3 linked regions of the Kluyveromyces lactis genome follow. The protein of the gene in region 3 interacts with the protein of the main gene of each other region in a pairwise test. Links are inferred from orthologs where the notes say so. Each region holds a gene or a part of one and is shown on either strand. Other genes may lie near its edges.

Evidence for each region.
Region 1: the proteins of PIH1 (region 3) and PRM4 interact in binary tests that used the Saccharomyces cerevisiae proteins (3 or more experiments, as listed by UniProt). The link is inferred for Kluyveromyces lactis from reciprocal best matches to the Saccharomyces cerevisiae genes PIH1 and PRM4.
Region 2: the proteins of PIH1 (region 3) and RSA1 interact in a two-hybrid assay, tested with the Saccharomyces cerevisiae proteins (2 studies listed by BioGRID). The link is inferred for Kluyveromyces lactis from reciprocal best matches to the Saccharomyces cerevisiae genes PIH1 and RSA1.

Annotation. Positions count from the first base shown.
Region 1 is NC_006040.1:508,924-516,795, reverse strand, and holds PRM4 (pheromone-regulated protein PRM4), read right to left. Parts: upstream 4,186-7,872; coding exon 3,340-4,185; downstream 1-3,339. Other genes in the region: AIM44 (Aim44p), read right to left, coding at 1-758; TGS1 (RNA methyltransferase), read left to right, coding at 2,151-3,062; KIP2 (Kip2p), read right to left, coding at 5,077-7,083.
Region 2 is NC_006041.1:1,718,584-1,726,401, forward strand, and holds RSA1 (Rsa1p), read right to left. Parts: upstream 4,193-7,818; coding exon 3,164-4,192; downstream 1-3,163. Other genes in the region: MIY3 (Miy3p), read left to right, coding at 1-912; KLLA0_E19295g (uncharacterized protein), read left to right, coding at 1,457-2,467; KLLA0_E19317g (uncharacterized protein), read left to right, coding at 2,747-3,145; pyruvate transporter MPC1, read left to right, coding at 4,943-5,317; DDC1 (Ddc1p), read right to left, coding at 5,516-7,177; APL5 (Apl5p), read right to left, coding at 7,367-7,818. UniProt on the Saccharomyces cerevisiae protein: Involved in a late nucleoplasmic step of 60S ribosomal subunit assembly.
Region 3 is NC_006039.1:881,605-889,528, forward strand, and holds PIH1 (Pih1p), read right to left. Parts: upstream 4,429-7,924; coding exon 3,427-4,428; downstream 1-3,426. Other genes in the region: cleavage/polyadenylation factor CFT1, read right to left, coding at 1-1,701; PRO1 (glutamate 5-kinase), read left to right, coding at 2,040-3,296; ERC1 (Erc1p), read left to right, coding at 4,786-6,411; rRNA-processing protein BFR2, read right to left, coding at 6,519-7,924. UniProt on the Saccharomyces cerevisiae protein: Involved in pre-rRNA processing and required for the NOP58-snoRNA interaction.

The sequences.
Region 1 (7,872 bases), on a different chromosome or scaffold from region 3:
TTAAGGTTTAATCTTACACGTTTACCGAGCTTAGTGAAATAGTGTAAGAGTCCACCTTTGCATCTTATCGCATTTGATCTTTTTATATTCGACCTTCTTGACACAGTCGAAGTTGATCTTTTGACTGATGATTTCCGTTTCTCACTTAAGTTCGTGGCGTTTCGCGTTTTCGTAGACGGCGTACTACGCTTCTTTAGCATTGCAGTGGAGTTACCAGATGACAGTGTGAACTGGAAAGAAATATTGTCGGCAGTCGGCAAAGTGAAATCAGAGGTAACCGTAGAATATGCTTCTGGTATGCATTGCATATCAAAGTTACCATCCAATGGCCTGCCAAATTCAGGTGAGTTTGTGGGACATATTCTAGGTGTTCTGTCCGGTGCCAGTGTTCCAGGATAATGCACTGAAGAACCGGAAGATGATATATATGAGTACCTGTTGTTTCCAATTGCACAAGCTGTGTTCTTGACAGCAGACAACTTGTCAGGATTAGTCGTATTATCAGATATGTTAGCAAATGAGTAGTATCCATTAGATGAGTTACCGGAGTTGGAATTTGTCGTGGTATAGTCAGATAAATGCTGGGAGTGAATATCGTCTTCTGGCTTCTTATTCAATTGCTCGTTTAGTAGATGATGGTTGTTTAAACCATGTTCTGGCAATTTAAGATGAGCCAAAACTTCAACATCTGGGAACCTAAATTCTGATTGAGATCCATTATAGGACTTGGTTTTGGTTCTTGTGGGAGTTCTGATCATTTATTCGGTAATTCAGTATTTACCAGCTAGAGTATTCGATGATAACAGTATTGCACGTAATTTTGAGTAACGCTTTTAAGATATTTTACGAAGCTTGCACCAGGAAAGGTTACGCAAGTGGCTCATGATGACAAAAAAGACTCATACAATCGTGGAATCGCTTTCCCCATTCAGCTTATTCAAGTTCTTCATTCATTCCTTCAAATATATATATATATATATATATATAGATACTGAAAGGATGATACCAGACAACAATTTAAGGAACAAGCTGACCTGATTCAGTATCAATGATTAGTTGCAGGGCCAGCCATATTTACTAGAGGCCGCATACGACACTCTACTGGAATAGCAAATATTGCTGACCTTGTATCAGCTTGCCCTTATCTGCAAAGACATGCTAAATTTCATGCTGGGTTCGTAATGAAAAGGGAAATTAGATGCTGGGCAGAAATCTCATCCGTACACCACGATGGAATACACACGTGACCTGTTTCACAACATCTTACTCATAAGGATATCTTGAAAGGAAATTATTCATTCAGCCCAAGTGACAGCCTGCCCATCTATAATTCTCTTAACATCAGAGTGCCTAGATTATCATCATGAACTGAGTTTATATATATACTTTTAGAATACCAGATATTTGTTGCATTTTGTACCAATATATATTTGGTGTCACATAATGTATCGTCATCTCAAAACTAAGTTAAGACTGTTTCAGAATAATAGCAGAACAATGATAACCTGCTTTCTTTTATCAGTATTTTGTCTTGATGTATTTCACTACCATTTTATGTAATTACTTTAGTGCCAAATCCATTATATTTTCTGGTTAATGACGAAGGAACTCGAAAACTTGAAATTCGCTATGATATTAAATCAAGCTGACAACCGAAGAACTAACTGACTTTACCATATTCTGGTAAACAGTTACATTCAACGGTTTATCTACAGGTATAACTTCAGAACAGAGTCTACTGTACTCTTTTTGGAACGGTGGGAGATGAAGTACCCCTATATCCTTTTTTGTTGAAGAGTATTCGTTCTATGTCAAAGTTTTCAGCAAAGCGGGGCTACAAGAGAGAGGTATTCTCTACTTTACACCTAAAGTAAATGCAGACATGCCGCATTGTTAACAACTAGAAAGGCAAGGGTTTGTAGATGCAGGTCAGATGTTGGTAAAATCACACATCTTGGAGATGGCACTTGCTAATAGTTCCTTTCTATATTGGATTTCTTTTCTGCAACCATCATTTTATAAATTTAACAAAATTAATGCAGAGAGATGCGATGAGATGGGATAGTAAAAACAACACATAATATAGTTATAGTTTAAAATAATGGAGCAGAACTGTTGTCCAAGTCATTAAGATATTTATTTAAAGCCAGATGTCGTGGCTCTTAAAGACGCCAAAAGATCTTGGATGTTTTGAAGGAATAGATGGAATAAACAATATAAAAGTAAGGCATCGATTAAAGAAACATTTCTTCGATGATAGTTACAGAATAAACCCTTACCAAAGGCCGAATGATAAGAAATTATTCAAGTTCTGGAAAAATAGGGCAACCATTTTCAAGCTCATAAATAATGGTAACATATATTTAACAGACGAATTGTGGTTTAGTGTCACACCCGAAAATCTTGCACAGTTTACTGCAAATTATGTTAGGCATTGTCTACCCAATGGAAATTGTATTGTTGATGTGTTTTGTGGAGGCGGTGGTAATACCATTCAGTTTGCAAGATTATTTGAGAAAGTTTACGGGATAGATTCAAATATCGACCATTTGTATTGTGCCTATAAGAATGCTGAGTGTTACAATTCTGCTGTCAAGCTTAAACTGATATATGGTGACTGGGAAGAATCATTGAAAAAGACTTTAGTCAAGAACTTGGGAAAAACACCCGATTGCATATTTGCTTCACCTCCGTGGGGTGGTGTTGACTATTTGAGACAGGACACTTATGACCTCGAAGAACATTTACAGCCGTCGCCATTATCAAAGATACTTAGCGTTTTCTTCTCTGTATGTCAGAATGTAGTTTTGTTTCTACCGAGAAACTCAGATCTTGATCAGTTGTCCTCAATTACTCATGACTTATTAGGCCCTGATGAAAAATGTAAAGTTGTTTATGTTAAGGATAACGGTTACATGAAAGGAATACTTGCATTTTGGGGGAGACCATTCTATGATTTTTCTGAGTACTATCCAACAGAAATAGAGGAAGAGGAATCGCATGAATTAAATAATAAAAGATCATCGAAAGATCTTGAAATTAAAATGGAGGATTTGTATTGAAACATTTGTATTTCACACTTGTGTTTCACACTTGAGTGCTTAATGGACTTTTTGTAGATTGAAATATTAGTATACTGATCACCTCAAGTATTATTATAGAAATTATAATACATATAAAATGGAAACAAAAGTAATGGAAAATGGCTTCCTTTCCGCAGGAGCCCAAAAATAGTAGTAAAATGCGAGAAGCGAGAAATATAGGTCGTCATAAAACACTCATTAAAATGATTCTTTACTTTGTTCATACAAGCAAATAACCACCAAAAATGCAAGGAACTCAAGAGTTGGATGGGATATCCACCTTTGAAATAGATACCTTACTATCAGCAACGTGTCTAAGCTTTGATAGAAGGGACCCGTCTGCATGCTTGTTCAATATATCGTCTTTCAAAGATTTGTTGATTAAGGAAACGCCATTAATGAATAAATATGGGACATCAGGAGATTTCGAAGATTCTCCATAGTTTGATTTATAAGTTGCTAGCCTATTCAACTGGATATATTCTTGCATAGAGTCACCAAATTGATGTTTGTCCAAGTCAACAACAATAATCTCTGGAGAAAAAGTGTACTCTAACGTCAAAACATTCTTCAAATCCACAGAGTTTTTCTCAGAAGATTTTATGAAAAGAATCACTGGCGAAGTATTCAAGATCTGCTGAAATCCTAAGCTTGGACTGAACCGCTCATTACTAACAGTGATTCCACCAGTTCCACTGGATCCGCCGTGTTCAACTATTACCGGTGCTACTTCGGATTCCAGAGGAGCCGTCATCTTAGGTGACAGGACCTTGTGTTTACGTAGTTCCATCCGCTTAGTACCTTCAGCTTCGTTGATCACAAGTTTCTCCTCCACAATAGAATCTGCAGCAATATTCGTAGAAGCATAGTTGATTCCACTACTAATGCTACTAATGCTACCATCAATACTTGGTAGTGCACTTACATCAGAATCATCTTCGGCACCAATCTGCAAAGTTCCAAGCGAAAACTGCTTGTAATTCATAAACGACTCATCGCTACCGACACTGTACAGGATAAGCAAAACGACACTAAACAACACAAGCGAGGTTACCACTAATCTATTGCCCTTCTTACTTGTCTTACCGGATCTGAGACCCATATTTCACAATGATTTATTGTCAATTTTCGCGTTGCACTACGCATAAAAACATATACCTAACCACATGCAACAAGAGAAAGGTTGGGATACCTTTATAAATGTAACTATATAGACATACCTACATATATATATATGTGTGTGTTTATAAATGTGATTATGCTTTCCTTTGGTACTTTCTTCAGAAAAACTTGGTTACCCCAACTTTATTTCTCGAAGCCTTGTTTTGTAAAGCGAGAGAAGTTATGAAAAAAGTCACAGAAAGGTTCGCACAGAACTAACGTATCTAGTTTCATTCCTCGATTTATTGGTGGTTCCTTTTGGAAAATCAAAGGAAAATCGAAATAATACACCAAATTGCTGATAAAAAACACTAAAACATGCGCAGGACACAGCCCGAATAATATCCCCGACTGTTATTGGGGATCAGGCAAGAGTCGGAAATCCCAATTGAGGTACAGGGAGTAAGGAATAAGACATGTTCCACGAGAAAATCACGTAAATCAAAAAGCGTAAAAATGAAAAAATTAGGGAAGTTTCGCAGTCCGGACTGGGAGACCTCGAGGGAAGATAAAATGGGAGAAAGGAAGATTACAAAAACAGAAGCAGGTGTGTTTCTGTGTCTATGTGTTACTTATTAACCGTTGCTTACTGATTCTGTAGGTTCGTATTTTTTGTCTTTAGAAGATGTTGTTACTCATAAGTTCTTTCCTATCTAGTTTTGTTGCCGGGTGAAATTGGATATAAAATTTCTTTTTGATTTTCCTCAGTGCTAGTTTTTCTAAGAGCGTGTTTTTGAGACCCTCGAAGCGTTGCAAGGTGCATACATTCGAGCTTCAGCAGAATGCTCGACCTTCTTTGATGTGAAATCGGGTGTTTCTGCTGTTAGACACCCTATAGAACTGATTTCGGAAATACATCTGATGCAATGGAGTACTTCGGTACGGGTTTTAGGTAATCACTGCCAGTACCGCTGCTGTCGCTGGTAGTTGTGATACTTGTACCGCTTCCAATCGTAATTGGTCTTTCTTGTCTGTTCAAATCGCTGGCATTCGGCGATATCGGTTTGAGAACGTTAGCAGCAGTTGCGGTTCCAATCTCAATGTCGGAGTCAGTAGCAGACACAGCTTCTCCCGTGTACTCTGCAAGTTGTTGTCTTAGTCTCTTCGCGCTCTTCAACGCTTCTATCATTTTATCCTTCCTTTCAAGAGATTGATGCAACTGCATCAATTCTTGCTCTTGTTCATGTAACACTTGTGTCAAATCGATATCTGATACATTGGACAGCAACTCTGCAGTGGCTGCAGTGGCAGAAGCATCTCGAGTCCTTGCACTCTCTAGCTGTGATATATACCTCTTCGACTCTTGTAATTGAGAGTCCATGTTGACCAATTTTGTCTCTAACATCACACCAATATCCTGTGGGAGCATGTCAATGATTTCCACTAATTCGGTATCTTTCAAGATACTAGGTTCTAACGTTTCCAGTCTTTCATAATGTTCTACCTTCATCTTTAGAAGCTCGTTCTCCCTTAGTAGTGATGTATCTGAACTTATTCCGGATCCAATGAAACCTTTCCCCCTGGTCAAATTGTCGATGGTTATTTGCTGTTCTCGTACTTGTTTCCGCAATGTTTGGATTAATTGGCTCTTGCTTACGTTGCTGTCGGCTTCGTTACGCTTTACAGCCAAACTGATGTTTTTTGCCCTGCTGGCGAACCGTATCGTATTGATAGATTCCGTACTTGTCTCGGGCCTTGTATCCACAGTACATATGGTAGCGACTAACGAGTCCCCGCTTAGTGCAGGTTGTAATATTCTTGTTAACTTGGAATCTCTGTATGGAATATGGCCTACATTTGTAGAAAGGCCCGAACTTTCCATACTCAATTTAGATATCACTGTTCCAAGAGCTAATAACGATTTGTTGATGTAAGCTCCCTCTTTCCTTCTTTCTTGTTGCCCCGTAGCTCTTTCGGACCCAGCTAAATCACACAGAGATAATGTACTCATCACTTGCTCGCCAGTTATTTCATCGGTGCAGAATACACGGATAAGGACCACAGCGTGAGATCTAGAGGATCTTGTATTAAAATCAGTCTCTCCAGTCTTACGGTTATGATCTCCAATCGATATGCACTTCATTAACTCTTTATTACTGCTAACATTTCTCTCAACTAAACCAACAACTTTAACCCCGTATTTCAAGTCATCTCGAAGCTTAAGATCATTAGTCAATGTCGAACTGGGCACCATAATATTGCTATTTAAAGTTTTGCCCTGTGGTAAATTCAATAGATCAAATATTCTCTCGTTGTAAATTTCCAAATAGGATACTCTGACAGTAAACTTTTTGCGAGGTAATCCCACATTGATACGATCGAAAATAGTGTCAACGCACATGGGTATTATACCAGGACCTGATTTGGATCCACTCATGGTATATGTCTTACCTGAACCAGTCATACCATAAGCGAAAATTGTACAATTAAATCCCTCGAATAATTTATCTATCATAGGCAATGCCATAGTCTCATATACTCGATCGTTATTCATCTCCGGACTGAAAACATGGTCGAAGTTAAATTCCCCAAACTCTTCATGAATAATGGAGTTGTTATTTACGTGCCAAGAATCTTGTTTTCCATGAGTAGGCTTGATTCTTACCCCTACCGAAATGGTACCCTGGTATGAACTTCTCCCGCCACGAATTGGAGAAGCGGCCTTCGTAGAAGAACTTCTTGCTGGTGAAGAACATTGACTCGAAGATGACGAGGAAGTTGATCTTGGCCTTACTGTTGATGAAGTTCTTAGATTTGGTGTGCTGGGAGGTCTCATCAATCTTTTGGGTGAATTGTACGATGATGTATGGAGTGGAAGTGCCACTGGTTTGGTAATCATGATCGATTGGCTATCTCAAGGGTGTGTTACTCTGCTATATTTTCGTTGCAATGCAAATCCTTGCGTAATCCAATATTGTGTCCTAATATGATTGTTTAATCACAAATAATAACAGTACGAAAATTTTGAGTATGAAGCTGATCCAGTGAAGATAATGTGAAGCAAGGCCATATATATTATGCAGGGACAGATGTATGGGCAAATAGATAAATGTCAGACTACTGTTAATGATTAGTGTTTGACCTTGTGTCTCATCTTACTATCATTTTTTTTAGATATCGAAATATGTCTATTATGTTGACAAATTACCTATTTGAGTTATAATTGAGAACTATCTTCATCAAGGAGAGTTGGCAATTCACACACATCTCGACACCAACGTTAACAAAATCAAGAACGGATCAAGAGGCGCCTGACAGATCAGAGAAGTTGAGAGTGGCATGTGCTCCAAATAAAATGAAAAAATATATATGAATTTTTTGGTAGGCCTATTCTACTATAGAAATATTCACTACTTTTAACAGACCTTGTGAAAGTAACATAAAAAAAAATGTAACTAAAATCGATACTTGAATTTTGGGAGAGAAATGAAAAAGAGATTCTGATAAAGGCAATTTATCGACATTTTATGAATCATTTATAGGTAGCCAAAGCCAAAGCCAATTGAATAATGTCCATCGTCTATATATTTAGAGGAAGGAACACAATTGTTTTATGATGAAATAGGAAAGAATTCTTTTAGGTATTTTAAGGTTTATTTGTCACCAAGTGTTGTTATACTTTGTTAGC
Region 2 (7,818 bases), on a different chromosome or scaffold from region 3:
AACGAATTGATTCAACTAATCAATTCAAATAGGAAGGTGACTCTTGAAGATTTGATAACAACATTGGCAAATATCGGTGTTATGATGGACAATGGCCAGTCGGAAGATGTGAACGAACTTTTACAATTATTGCCACAGCTACATACTGGTCTTAACGTCAATCCGGCTTTCAATGGTACATTTCAAGATGATCAAGCGTTAGCACTTTTTAGACTCTTCCAAGTGTCATTGGTTCATGGATGGATAGTGGATCCAACAAGAAACGAACAACAATACCATAGCGTTTCTCATTACTCTTACGATGATGCTCAAAACCTCTTGGTGCACGCTTACGACATCCAGAATAATGGGCTGCAAGTGGAAAATTCGGAGCAAATTTTGCAAGACGCTCAATATCTGAAATCGTTCTTAGCAAGAAGTGCGACTCAATTGACAGAGTATGGTATTCAGCACTTACAGCAGCTACTTCAAGAGCATTCATACTCCGTATTTTTCCGTAACGATCATTTCTCCACCATTCATAAGAACAATGGCGGCTTATACGTCTTGGTCACCGACTTAGGTTTCAAGAAGGCTTCTAATATCGTGTGGCAGTCTTTGAAGTCCGTAAAGGGGAACCAGGACTCTTTCTTCACCTCTGAGTTCCTACTAACTACCCTTGAACAGGCCACTGCTTCGGGTTTGGACCCGAATAGCAACGGATCTCAACTGGATGAAGAAACACCAATGACAGATGAACAGTTGGCCCGTCTATTGCAAGAAGAAGAAGACGCAAGGGCTGTAAGAGGTATTAGGTCGCGCCAAGATAGGAGGGCAGCTGCTACTGCCTCTTCAAATGAGGCCAAATCTGCTAAGAAGGGCAAAAATAAAAAAGCCGAAAAGAAGAAGAAGAAGAAGTGCGTCATATTATAAAGAACTCAGTGATCTTCATTATCTCTGATCTTTCTAACCAATTCAAACTCTGTTAATACAAGAAGACAGGAAGAGCAATTCAGCGGTTTCTTACTTACGCACTTACGCCATTTGTATAACTGATGAGTCTACACTTATGCTAATTTGTCTGTACTGACTTTAACCTTATATATCTAAATATATAGCTTTACGATAGAGAGACCCCTGTTTATGAATGATGAATCCTGTACGAAATAGACTGGATCTTGAATTCTGCTAGTCCATATTTTATTATGTATCAATGTTATATAAACTGTGCCAGTGCATATTTTTTCACAATACAATTTCGTTGTTCGATTTATCGTATCTGAATACCAAAGTGACAGTAAAAAATAAAGGATTCTTCTTCATCTTAAAACAAGGAGACGTTTTAAAGACACTAAGGGAGATATAGTCGGACAGTTTTCGAAAAAGGTCGGTAGCATAGGCATATTGTTAGATAGGACAGTGTACTAGCACATTTACGCCTTGTTAAAATAGTTACAAATTAGCTCTACATTCTCAGATGTATCAGTTTATTAAGACTCCGCACACAACAAGAACTATTGAATTTAATGGTTCTCATGGAATTGAGGTTATTATTGGGAAAGAAGTTAAGGAAGATGAAAGCAAGCATTCCAGCGAGTCCAATTTAATCTTTGATGATGATGACCTATTTGTTGAGCACGCTAAGCTTGTTGTTAAGAAACTCCCTCCGACGAATGATGAAGAGTCGCTTCCAATGAATATAGACTCATTCAGGATTTATTTAGAATCCTTAGGGGACGCGGATCGTATTGTGGATTTGGAATCAGCAGATTCCAATACAGATGGAAAGATAATTGATTTGAAAAACGGTGATAGGTTTGGGTTAGTTAGATTAGATGAGCCGGTCTCAGTGAATCAACAACGGGGAGCCAAACTCAAATTCAACTTAAATATAAGACCAGGAGCTTGGCCTTTCAACTACAGAATTGTGCTTACTGATGTGACAGATCAAAAATCGCCATGTACATCAAGGTCAAGTGACTTTCTGGACTCCATCATGCAGCATGTTTCAGACGAATCTGATTCTGAGAACGCATGGTCCAAGGCAACCGATTGGAACGAGGAAATTAAAGTTGAAATTGGCAAGGAGGATGAAGTTGTTGCTGTGGTAGATGATACTGCGCCAACGGTAGCACTCAAGCCAACCTCTGACCCCAGTACACTGAGCTCGTCCAAGGAGTCGTCTGTTTCTGGTAACTCTCACTCTCGTGCATGCATTTACATCAACAGTGACAGCGACAGCGACAGTGGCTATGATGACCATACTTTTATGGATCCAGAGAAGAAGCACCATCACTTCAAATGCCGCTATAAGAGAGGAAGAGGGAACAGATCAAGGTGGTCGACGTTTAGGGTGAATAAGGCTAAGGGGAAGAAATTTGGTAGAAAGAGAAGATTTGACTTATATAGTGGTTCATTAGGATTTATGTTGGGTTCCATTGGTACTTTGGGAGTTTTAGCTACTGTTGCAAATTTTGTCGAAGGATAAGTTTGGATTGTTCACCCAGCTGATAAATATCATTGAATGTTCCAACCCACACTCTCATAACAGTTTTTTAGAATGCTTTATTGAAGATATCAAAAGTATATATTTTGTTATTATCTATATTATATGTGATACCTCATGTCTGAAACCCAAATGAAACATATAAATGCTTGAAAACTTGAAGAGAAAAGGTCTTTATAAAGTGAAAATAGGGAAAGGAACTAGAATAGGCATCAATTCGGATTAAAAACTACACTCCCGGAGTGGTCAGTAATCCAACTCATGCAACTGAGAATGGTTGCTTCAAATAATGGAATGTTATCAAATCAAGATGAATCAACTTTTATTGATGAGCCCGCCATGAGCACTGATGGTACACAGAGAATACTACAAGTCAGTTCCCCCAAGATCGATACAGATAATCACAATATAGAGTACGAGAGTATTAAAAGCAAGGATAAGAAGAAACATAAGAAGAGGAAGAGCAAGAGGCATTCTAAAGGAAGACACAAAATGAAATATCGAGTTGACAAACCTCGGTACCACGATGATGCAAAATATGACGCTGATATTGCTGACAATAATAACGGAAAGGCATTGAATAAATTCTTCCCTGGTATCTTAATAGGAACTTTCATTGGTTCAGCTGTCACTAACTTTATATTGGAAGGGTTAAAGTAGTAAGCAAGATTTCCTTTTTCAAACCTCATCAATCGGTCTTTTCCTTGAATGGTTTCGGTATTGAGTATCACGTTGATTGAGTTGCCTATCATACCTCCTATTGGAGCGTCTATTCTGGTCATTCTTGTGATCTTTGCCTCCAAAGAGCACCTCTTTTTCTTCTTCTGTAAGTTCATATTTGAGATAATTGGCATCACCAAGTTCTTTGATGAAATCCAAGATCTTACCGTTTTCCTCTTTTAAGATTCTCTGATGAAGACCTATCGTCAAGTTTGGTTTATAATTAAACCTTTTAACTTGGTTTTGTATATTTTGAATAAAATAGCGCTCCTTTCTAGACTCCTGGAGAGGATTACGATTCAAGTCTTCGTCCTTGACGTTAAACTTTTCTCTGTACATTTCTTTCTTATTTGAAATCTTTATTAACCACATCTTCCTTCTCTCTTCTTTCCATTTTGCGATATCCTCCTCCGTTTTAAGCACTATTGAAGTTCCAGGTATATACAGATCTGATCCTTTGACGGTTTCTATGATATCTTCATCAGCAGAAGCTTCTTCTTCTTCTTCATCTTCTTCTTCTTTCCTTTTATCATCTTCATCACTTGCTATTTTATTCTCAACTAAAGCAGAATTCCTCAAATTGGTATTGGCGAACTTTTTGATAGGACCCTTCTTGGGTACTTCGATTTTGTCGTTTGCCTCTAAATTTGACTGTTGGTGCTCTATCACCTCTTCCTCTTCTTCTTCTTCCTCATCATCATAATTGATCTTGCTTGATTTTGTAACATCCACGTATGGCGGTTGCGCTTGATTAAAACCATACCAGCTCTGTTGATACTGGTGCGGATTCGGATAGAAAGGATGGTGGGTCCCATATCTCATTCCCATTGGTGCATGCTGCATAGCGGGGACACCGTATTGGTTGGGTTGATTCATCTGAGGTATCGGATAATACTGCATTCGCGTGGTTTGTAACGTATGTTGCAAAAGATTATTATTCACAGATCCGCCCTGTGAAGAGTTATTGTACACGTTTTGACCATTCATGTTGCTCGAATACTCTTCCCTGGGGCCTTTCTTCCCATCATATTCATTAATTGAACAGATAGAGATGAGATGAGATGAGATGAGATGAGATGAATAGATAATGAAAAGAAATTTCCTACGTTCACATACATAATGTTCTGGAGAAAGGTGTTGAAGTTTTAAACCGGTAACTGATGCTTCGTAAACCGTGAAACATATTCTGAAATATGTAACAGTCAAACAGGCTCATAAGGGTCCCCGCAAGTCATTCCACTGGTGCTATAGCTTTTACGCAGTGTCATCTATATCACGTGACCTTACTGATATACGTCTTCTTATTACCAATCATAAGAGAGACGGATTTTGACCAAGTTAACCACTGAGAGTAATCAGAAATCTATCCCCCAATATGTCGGCTTATAAGTTGGTGGTTATGCGGCCCCTCCATGTATGTAGTTTTATACCTCTTACTTCCATCAGCTGTGCAGTGGGTAGTCTCTCACCAACGGGTTTACCAGTGAAAATCGTATTGCAGCGGTGAATTTTTCAAGCTTCGAAACCTTGAAGACTTTTAAAGCTCAACAAAAATGTTTAAATGTTTTCAGAAAAGATTTAAAGGTACATTGAAGAACTTCTTGGTACTCGATCTGAGTTATTAGTTGGCCTCTCGTTTTCCCATTCATTCATTGTTATCCTTCTTTTTTTAGTTTGGTTTACGTTAATATTAACTCAGTAAATTATACTTCGGCAACAGTTTATAATCCCTGAATCATGTCCCAACCAGTACAGAGAGCTGCTAGTCAATCTTTGATTTCCAAATACATTAACAAGGAAACTTTAAAGTATGTCTTCACCACACATTTCTGGGGTCCAGTTTCAAACTTCGGTATCCCAATTGCTGCCATCTACGATTTGAAGAAGGATCCGGAGATGATTTCTGGACCTATGACGCTGGCTCTAGTGATGTACTCTGGTGTGTTTATGAGATATTCCCTAGCTGTTACCCCAAGGAACTTCTTGTTATTCGGTTGTCACGTTGTGAATGAAACAGCCCAACTTGTGCAAGGTTACAGATATTTAAACCATCATTATCTAGGTGGCAAGAAAGCTGACGCTACTGACGCCAATGTCGCCAAGACAGCCTAGATGCAAGAGAAAATGTAACCTGCCGACAAAACAACATTCTTTCTCCCATGGCTTAGATTACACTACTGTGTAGGTCTGTTATCTAAGATTTAATGCTAAGTTTATTTACGTACTGTATATTATATGTCTATATGTTCAATTACAGTTTATGAATTCATTTCGAAATGAAAAATAAAGTACTTCTTTCGTTCTTTATTATCAAGAGTCGAACAAACCTTTAGGTCTGTCAGCTTGTGTGGGACCCATGCCATCATCTTCTTCCTGTAGATTGAGATCTTCTTGGATTGCTTGTCTTTTCAAATTATTTAGATAAGCAGCCTTGTTCATTTCTCTTTGATGAGATTCATCTGTACCGACATTGTTCGATTCAATTGTTCCTCCCCATTCGACAGTTGTTCTCATTCTCTTTACTGGCTCGCTAATTGACGGCTCGGTTGTTGTGTTCGATGGTGTTGACTGGGAGCCAGTGTTTGAATTGGGAGTAGTGTTACTATTTTGTTTCCCCCACCTTTTAAACCTGAATTGCCTTCCTTCTTCGTCTTCGTCATCATCATCTGCTCCATCCTCATCCGTTATAAATAGTGAGCGTTTTGTATGTGGATACAGCATCTGCTTACTTTCCGGCCTTTGAAGCTTATCTGGTTTCACTACGGTATCCTTCTTGATTGGTGAAACTATCTTTTCTGGTGACAGGTTAAATTGGGTGACAGAATCCTCTGGTTCTTCGACCCTACCCTCGGTATCAGTTACCTGCACTAATTCCAATACAACCCCATCTTTTGTTATTTCAAAGAGAATGGGGTCACCAGGTTGGCAAAACCAGATTCTTATCATGTCATTTGTTTTCCAACAATTAAGTCCATTTAAGAATACTTTGAAATCTCGTAATTTGAACGTAATGCTCTTCTTAATACTTTGTGATCTGCTTGAAGGTCTCGAACCGTCGTTTTTTTCTGTTGAAAATATGCAGTAATGTTCTAGATCATTTGCGCTACATGTATTCGTTACTGTAACTGCTTGTTTGAGGTACCCTTGACTTTTCATGTTGTACACGGCTTTTGTAAATCCTATTATGGCTAGAGTATGTCTCGTCAATTCCAATTTTATTTCCTCGATCACATTAGACATAATAGAGTCAATGAAGTTTCTTAGTATTGATTGATCAAAACTTAAGAAGTTGATTTCGTCGTTAACCGTCAACGGTGTATTTTTCACTGTGCTCACAATATTGTGTTCATTGGCGATACCTCTATTAAACATATCATGTTCTAATTCTGTTTGTAAAGATTTGAAATAATCCACTAACCGAGGATCTAATGATCTGCCCTTACTTTTGTTGTTGTATACTGAAAGGAATTTTTGTTTATATTTCAGACTTAATATGATCTGAACACTTTCCAATGGATCAAAATTAACTTGATATTCTTTAGTTAGCAAAGATGCTGTCTTCATTTTGATTATGAGTTTGTTAGCTATAGTTTCAGAACAATTATCACAATTGTCGATAGTTAACATGTATTCTTTAATTGTATCCTCTTGTTTAAGTGATAATAGGGAAAGATACTTTGCATTCGCTTTGAAACTATAAATTGTGTGAAGAATGTCATTACAATCGGTGATCTGCTGCACTCCAGATTCACCAAATACAATCTTCTTCGGCTCGAAGTGATACTCTGTAAAGAACGACTTAGGAAATCGTACCTTGGCCATGGTCGTGTCTGTTGCATTCATGGATGATATCAATACACCATTTTCGGTGATTGTTATGAAGACATCAGGGTTTATTTGAGAAAGAGTTGCCAAGCATTTACCCCATATGGTCTGTTCATTCGTGCTGTTTATGGAAGCACGAAATGACATTGCAATGGCCTGTTGTCACAACTTCCAGTCAGAATCCCTTTATCTGGCGGTGATAAAAAACTCTTCACTAGATCTAAAGTTCGTGTTTTTTCTTGCAATTACGTGATTTATCTTTTTACAGATTAAATATTTGAACCTATGTCTATAAAGAAATAGTGCGAATGGATTAGTGATTATATTAATCTGTTATTATGATTCGTTTGGAGCTAGAGAAATTGCTGGAGTTGAAGCTTTTTCAGCGGGCTCTTTATATTTTTTCTTAGTCTTTTCCTTCTTACTGCCATCTTTGGTTTTCTTCTTCTTTTTCTTTTTAATAACTATGACTTCTTCTTTGTCATCTTGGATGGCTGTTAAATTGTCACTAATGTGTTGTTCTGCAAGTTTATTTTTTAGCTTTTCCAACTCCTCTTGATCAACAGTGTATTCACCGTCGTAATCAATGTTATCCTTTCGACTAAAATCAAAAGATTTGAATTTATTCGATGTGGAAAGAGTTATCGCATCTGAATGCCCAGAAGTATTTGATTTCTTCTTCCCCTCCTTTGTGATAGTGGATGGTGGAGCCACTACAATATCTGACAAAATTTGTACAGATGGTGACTTATTAGATTTCTTCTTTTTCGTCGAAATTTTGATGACGG
Region 3 (7,924 bases):
GATGGTTCTGCTGTCTTTTCTAAAATCTTGCGCCCTAAAAGGTTCAAAATTTCTATCAATCTGATATACATCACTTTTCTCTTTATCAGCGTCTGTAGTCACAAGATACTTGTCTTTTCCCTTTATTTTCAAATTCCAGATACGGGTCGCACTTGTGAATTTTAAGGCTTGTTCTATGTGGGGCTGGACAGTGGAATGCAATGCAGTGAGGTGAGATCCCCTCCCAACTCCAGATGTAGCTACAATTGAGAATTCATCTTTGTTAGGATTGGGAAGTCTCTGAATAGTTGGTTCAACAGATGCGACCTTACCAATAGTAAGAGATGTTAGAGGACCGATATTGAAAATGGAGTCCAACAATGATATATCGAAAGGCTCTTGTGTTTCGACGATTCTGGTGTGAGTATTATTTTGAGACTCTCCATAAAGTGCACTGTATTCATCGTCATCGTCATCAACAGTTTCAACAAGTTGTCGTTTTGCTGCAAATGCCACTTTCAAGTTTTTAAGTTGCAGAAACATTGCATCACCTGAGAGAAAACCTATAAGAACTCTGCCAGTTTCTAAGTTGAGATCACCACATACCGACAACGGCAATCTTGAATTTTTGAAGATCTCGTTAACAATCGGTACTTGTACACAGTCAAATTTGGTAAGTAGATTACCCTCTGATTCTGTAATAATGTTGTACATCCTGCAGTTTTCATCTATCAAAATAAGCAAATCATGTCTTTTCAAAGCTTTATAGAAATATATTGAACTCTTTGATAGAAAGATATTCATGTCAGAATTATCAGTTATCCTTGTATTGATTGAAGACGTTGCAAATGTGTTCAATCGTATGCACGATTGTAGTGCACCAGATGCACTGATATATAATAATTCATTGACACCAATCAACACATATCCCCTCTTCAGTGGAACCAAGGTGTGCAGGTCGTTCGGAAGATCTGCAAGCTCAGCAATCACGGTGGTTTTTTCATCTTCGACATCTAAACTCAAAACCATGTACCTCATAGTATTTCCAAGTACTTTTTCATTTCCACACCACGCAAGTACCGGTTGATATAATATTCCCACAGTTGGCTTGCTGAAATTATTTAACCATTTTATATCATAGACATGCTTGAGACTCTTGTGAAGGCTAGAAATTGGCATTATTATACTATCGGATGTGATTCCTTGGTTCCTTTTTAAGCGTTTAGCCATTGGCTCTTTTATTCCGTTCTCATCCTCATCAATTTCCATATCTTCTGTGTTCAGTTTCAATGGCAATATAGCTAAAACATCTTCATTAAAAACCAGAAGACATCTAAACAATGGATCCACTGCCATAATGGACTCCGTCTTCAAAGAAGAAGTGCTTAAATTGACAAATTTGTCGTGATAATAATGCAGACTTAGTGTTTCAAGACTCTCTGCCACTGGGTCAAACCTTACCAACGATACTTTGGATTTCGACGAAAGTATTGCAAGCATCTTAAGAGGCGATCCAATTTGGGGCAGTAATTGCATATCTATGATTTTACCTGCTAGTTTCCATTCATATGCAAGTACAAGCTTTTGTGCTCGCGAGACCCTGAATACAGAGAGAACATTGGTTCTTGCAACAACGTATTCTTCCCTTTCCGCTGACGTAAAATTCCCATGTAAGCATTTATTAACCACAGTGGGTTGCAATATCTCGTCAAAAACGTTCATTTATTATCTATCCCCGATATTTAAACGTTTCAGATTCAGGTGTGACTGAAGAGTGCTAGTATGCCCACCTACGCTCGTCTGTTTCCAGTGTTCTTAGTAATGATAGTTACCTATATTTTGAAGAACCGGTGAATATTTAAAAATTCACAGAAACTGAAAGTAAATGTTTCGATGACATCTGCAGACCATTTGAAAAGATGAATAACTGCATCTGCAAAACAGATATAAACATAGTGTACTGTCTGTGAGCAGCAGCTATTAGTCAATCTGGCCTGAAATTTCTGTAACCAAAGGTTTCTACGGACCGCGAGAAGAAGAACGTTTTCCAACAAGTTCAGATGGTAAAGCAGTTCGTCATAGTCATAAAATTGGGATCTTCATCACTAGTTGATGAAGAGACCAAAGAACCAAAACTTTCTATCATGTCATTGATTGTGGAGACTGTGGTAAAGTTACGCAGAAGAGGACACAAAGTTATCATTGTATCTAGTGGAGGTATCGCCGTCGGATTGAAAACGATGAATATGAAGGGAAGGCCAAAGAAACTATCCAAGGTGCAAGCAATCGCAGCTGTGGGCCAAGGCAGATTAATTGGGAGGTGGGATTCCTTGTTCTCTGAATTTGATCAGAGAATTGCTCAAATCCTAATTACTCGAAATGACATTGTTGATTGGACTCAGTATAAGAATGCACAGAATACTATTAGTGAATTACTTTCCATGGGAGTAGTGCCAATCGTTAATGAGAATGACACTTTATCTGTGAGCGAAATCAAATTTGGTGATAATGATACATTATCAGCTATCACAGCAGCGTTGACTGGTGCTGATTATCTATTTTTATTGACAGATGTTGACTGTTTATACACTGATAATCCAAGAGCAAATCCCGATGCAAAACCTATCTTGGTTGTTCCAGATATATCACAAGGATTGCCAGGTGTGAACACAGACGGTGGATCTGGATCAGATGTTGGAACTGGTGGTATGAAGACTAAGCTTATTGCGGCAGAATTAGCAACCAATGCTGGTGTCCATACCATCATTATGAAGAGCGACACTCCAGAAAACATTTCCAAAATTGTTCTCTACATGCAGGAAAGGGACGATGGCGTGAATGAACTTACACAAGATTTGGCTGACCTACAACTCACTGAGATGCAAAGTTTAGTTAATAATCATGTTCCTCTTCATACTAGGTTTATTGCCAATAGTAATCATCATCACTTGAAGAACAGACAATTCTGGATGCTTCATGGACTCGTCAGTCAAGGCGCTGTAATTATAGACATTGGTGCATACGAAGCGTTAACGAGGAAAAACAAAGCTGGTTTGTTACCTGCAGGCGTTATTGAAGTCCAAGGGAGCTTCCATGAACATGAATGTATAGATATAAAATTGGGAGTCAGGGATTCAGATGGAAATTTGGATAAATCCGTTGCACTGAAAACAGTAGGTAGGGCTCGTTGCAACTATACAAGCACAGAGTTATCAAAAATTAAAGGTCTGCAAAGTGATCAGATTGAAGATATTCTAGGCTATGCTGATAGTGAATACGTAGCTCATAGGGAAAATTTAGCATTCCCTCCTCATTAACCTAAAGTGAATGAAAATATACTTTACATGTTACGTTTAACTCTCATACACGTAGCCCTTTAATAAAAGCATATATAGATAATCGAACATCTTGCATCAATTTATATATATATACGGCCATATTGAGATTTTATAAAAATATTATTAATCTGCGCTCAGGCTTCACAAAGAAACACTCTAATTTTGGAGGATTATTAAATATATCAGGTAATGGAACCTTGAGTTTCTTCTCGGGATAAATACCTAGATTAGTATTCTTTATGATGAGTTTATTACTTTTAGCATCATATTTGATATTGTAATCAAGACTAGAGTTAAGCTCCGAGGTCACTTCTATCTTTAAGAGAAACTCTGAGGTGTCTTTGGGTTTGCCCATACTAAGTTCATATGATATACTTTTTTTTTGTATTTCTTCAACCTTGGGTTTCTTGGTTTCATGCAGTGAAAGATCCTCGATTTCCTCTATTAAAGGTTTTCTACGGGAAGATTGGTCGATAGGAATTAATGGCGGCAGTTCACCCGTCGAAGGTTCGTCTTCTGCAAGAAAGTCTCGCCTCTTTTCGATAATACTAACAGGTTCTTTTTGTTCCCTATTTACCAAATCATTGATGGTTTCTTCATAATTCTCTGTTAGGTCTTCTCGCAGTATTTCTAGTTCAGGTATAGTATCACCTTTCTTCTTCAGCTTAGGGAAACTTATATTATCCCTTGATATTTCGAGCTCCGCTCGCAATTCACAGGATTCTAAGCACCATTCAACTACGATTTCTCTTAGTTGTAAATCATGCTGGATCCATGAAACGCATTTGGTGTTTATACAACAATCGCTCACGTAGCAGACGTTGCCCTTTTTGTCAACATCCTCCCTTATTGAGGAGGTTACGATTGGTATTTCCCATTGGTTGTTGATTATTAGGGGATATACTATGGCGGGGTTGAAATCGATTTCAGGTAAGGGTATCTGGTCATTATGGCAAATGTTGATGAATATCTTTGCATTGCTTGATAGCGATGTAGTACCAGGGTTTATTACCTTAGATTTTACGACAAAACATGGTTCTGGGCTTATTCTTATAACGTTGTTGGAGTTGTTCGAGCTGCTATCATTCAATGGTCGAAGAAGAAATGACATTGCACCTAATTGACGGTATGTACTTTCTTATTCTTTTGTTTTTTTTGTTCCTATCGCAGTTATCTGCTAAGCGATAATATAGAATTTCACAATCAAATTCTTATTAGCGATTATCAAAACTAGTGCTTTTTCAACGTAGATAAGGATCAATTATATGTACACCAAGACGAATAAAAGGTTCGTGTCATCGGAACGTGCTCGGTGGCCGTTCAATCCATACTGCCTGGCTCAATACAACATTTTGGGTATTAATACCTTTAATTCTGGAGATTAGTTTTTTTCATTCCACTGTTAATGGACATTCAAACTGGTTTTAAGATAAAGAAGGGCATTACAGGTTAGTTGAAACAACTAGACATGAATCAAGAGAGTGAGTATCTCTGTGACTCTATGGATAGACCGCGATACGATACAATCAATGACAATACTAGATATGAAAGTGATGGAGAATCTGCATCTTCTGGCGATGCCATAGACAATCGATATCGACTAATGAGTCCAGATGCAGATCGCGATGACTTTATTGACGAAGACTTCATAGAGGATCTTACTGCCCCAACAAGCTCTAGGAATGAAGTCTCCTATATCTTAAGCAACTCCGCTCTAATTACATTAACTTTTCTAATGGAATACTCTTTGGCTATTATTTCTTTATTTGTCATCGGTCATGTCTGTAAATCAAGTGATGCCTTAGCTTCCGCATCTTTGGCGGTAATGACTTACAATATTACTGGTTTAGCATTTGTGGAGGGTATGGCCACTTCTTTGGATACCTTTTGCTCACAAGCGTATGGTGCCAAGAAATATGCAAAAGTTGGTTTATATTCATTCCGTTGTGCAGCGATGATAATGACAGGTATTTTCCCTGTGATTATATCATGGTGGTTCAGTGCTTCATGGTTAGGTTATGTGATTGCTGAACAGGATATCCTCCCAGAGATACAACTTTTCTTGAGAATAATATCGTTTGGGTTGCCAGGGCTGATTTTTTTCGAAACTGGTAAGAGATTCCTTCAATCACAGGGCCATTTCCAAGCAGGAACATACTCCTTGTTGATTACAGTTCCAGTTAATATTATTCTAGTGTATTCATTTACTCGTTACATTGGATATGCTGGTGCTCCTCTAGGTATCGCCATATCGCACTGGTTTATGGCCTTAATGCTACTGGTTTATTGCAAATTTTGGAGAAAGGAAACTCTGATTTGTTGGTATCCCATGTTCTCTTCAATGTTCCACTTTAAAAGATTATTTTGCAGCTGGAAACCTATGTGGAATTTGGCATTTCCTGGTTTACTCATGATTGAAGCAGAGTACCTTTCTTTCGAAGTATTGACTATTATGTCTACATATCTCGGTGTCAAGGCTATAGCAGCACAATCAGTCGTATCGAACATAGGATCTTTGATATATCAAATCCCATTCGCAATGGGTTGCGTAGTTTCCACAAGGGTTGCTAATTATGTTGGGACAGAATCGGTCAACAACGCGAAGATCTGTATTAATACGTCGTACGTGATAGCAGCGTTTGTAGGGATTGCGAATTGTTGTTTGATTTTAACAGGTGACAAGAATTTAGCGTATTTGTTCACTAAAGACAAAGAGGTCGTTGAGTTATATCGTCATGTCGCTCCAATTTTGGCAGTTAACCAATTATATGATGCATTCACAACTTTTAGCGCTGCGATATTACGTGCACAAGGACGGCAGCAAGTTGGCAGCCTGTTAAATATCATAGCATACTATTTTATCGCATTGCCTTTAAGTGGATGGCTAACTTTTGGTAAATTTCAGTTGGGATTAAAAGGGCTTTGGTACGGATGCGGTACCGGGATCTTATTACTGGCGTTTGCTTTGAGCTATTGTGTTTTCAATTCCAATTGGGAAAACATAGTGGAAGAATGCCATAGAAGAGAAAAAGAAGAAAATGAGGTTGACTTAGAGAGTATGGCAAGTAACATGAGCAATATTATCGATGTTTGATTTGTCGATGTCAGTTTGTTGGACATTTTGAATGCCGTGTACATATTTTAATTATAATAATAAACAATAGATGAAAAATAAATACAAGTTGAAGGTCGAACTCCAAATTATCCGAAAATTTGAATATCGTCATTTTTGATCTCTTCGTCTTCCTCGTTGTGCATCGTGTCAGCTTCCAATTCATCGTCTTCATTGAAGTTGATCTTTTGACCTAATAAACCAGCAAAGAATTCATCAATTTGCTCATCCGACCATTTATACCCAGTATTAACTGATGCTTCATAATTGGCAATTGGTTCTTGAATAGAGTAATTTAGTTTACGACCCTTTGAAGCCTTGGTGTCGATGTTTTTCTTGAGCTTGTTTTCAGAGCGAGAAGTGATGGCCAAAGTAACACCATTGGATTGTTGAGAGTTAGATATTTTTTTCTCAACAAGATCATTCAACAAAACTCTGTAAAAATCTTCGTCATCATAGATATATGGGTTTTGGGTAAAATCTAATGCATTGTTATCCTTCCTTCTTGGATCGTAATTCTTTGGAATATCCAAATTATTTTCTTCTTCGATGTCTCCTTCTACGTTTTCCTCCAGTTGCAATTCTTTTAGTAGACCTTTTTGTAAATCTTCATCAAACAACAAAGGTTTAGTATTGCTTCTATTGAGTTTTGTCCTTTTAAGTAATCTTGGCATATCAGCAAGTTGGTTATCCACTTGTACATCAGCTGACTGGTTGATCGCTTTAAACTTGGAGGCTTGCAGAAGAGATTTTCCTGATGATGCAGAAACTTTTGCTGACCATTTGTTAAGTACGGCAGAACGGTATGATTTTAAATCAGAATCCAATGTTACAGTTTCATGTACTAGTTCCTTAAAACTTCTCTTTTTGCTGTTATCGAAGTCAGAAGGGTTCTCAGATTGGTTTATGTGATCACCGATTTGGAATTTATGCCTTACTGTAACACACTGGGTCAAAACTTTCTCTAAAACTTTGAAAGTACTAGTTAGCAATTTGGAGTTATTTTCATCTAGAAGTTCATCCCAAGATTGTTGAGAAAGTGGTAACTGGTTTGAAGCGGATAATGCTTTTTGCAACTTAATTCTAGAGTCTAGAATTTTATCGAAGAATTTATTCTGTTGTAAGATGGCATAACCTTTGGAAGCATCTCTCTGAGCGGAATGTGCTAAATTATTAATCACTTGTTTAGTTTGCGTCTGTACTATCTTGGCCAATTTCTCTTTCTTCATCGCAGTCTCCTCATCTTCCTCTCTATCTTTCTCTATTTCTGACTCGGAAGTGGCTTCAGATTCGGATACATCTTCTGAATCGCTTCTAAAGGATACTGCATCACTCTCTTCAGATCCGGATTCAGCTTCAGACTCACTTTCTCCTTGTTCAGGAGCGTCCATTTCTTCGTCATTGAACAGTTCTGCTCTAGACCCTTTGCTCCCGACGTATTTCTTATCCTTTACGGCCAATCCTTGATCGACCACATTTCTAAGTTTTGACTTTC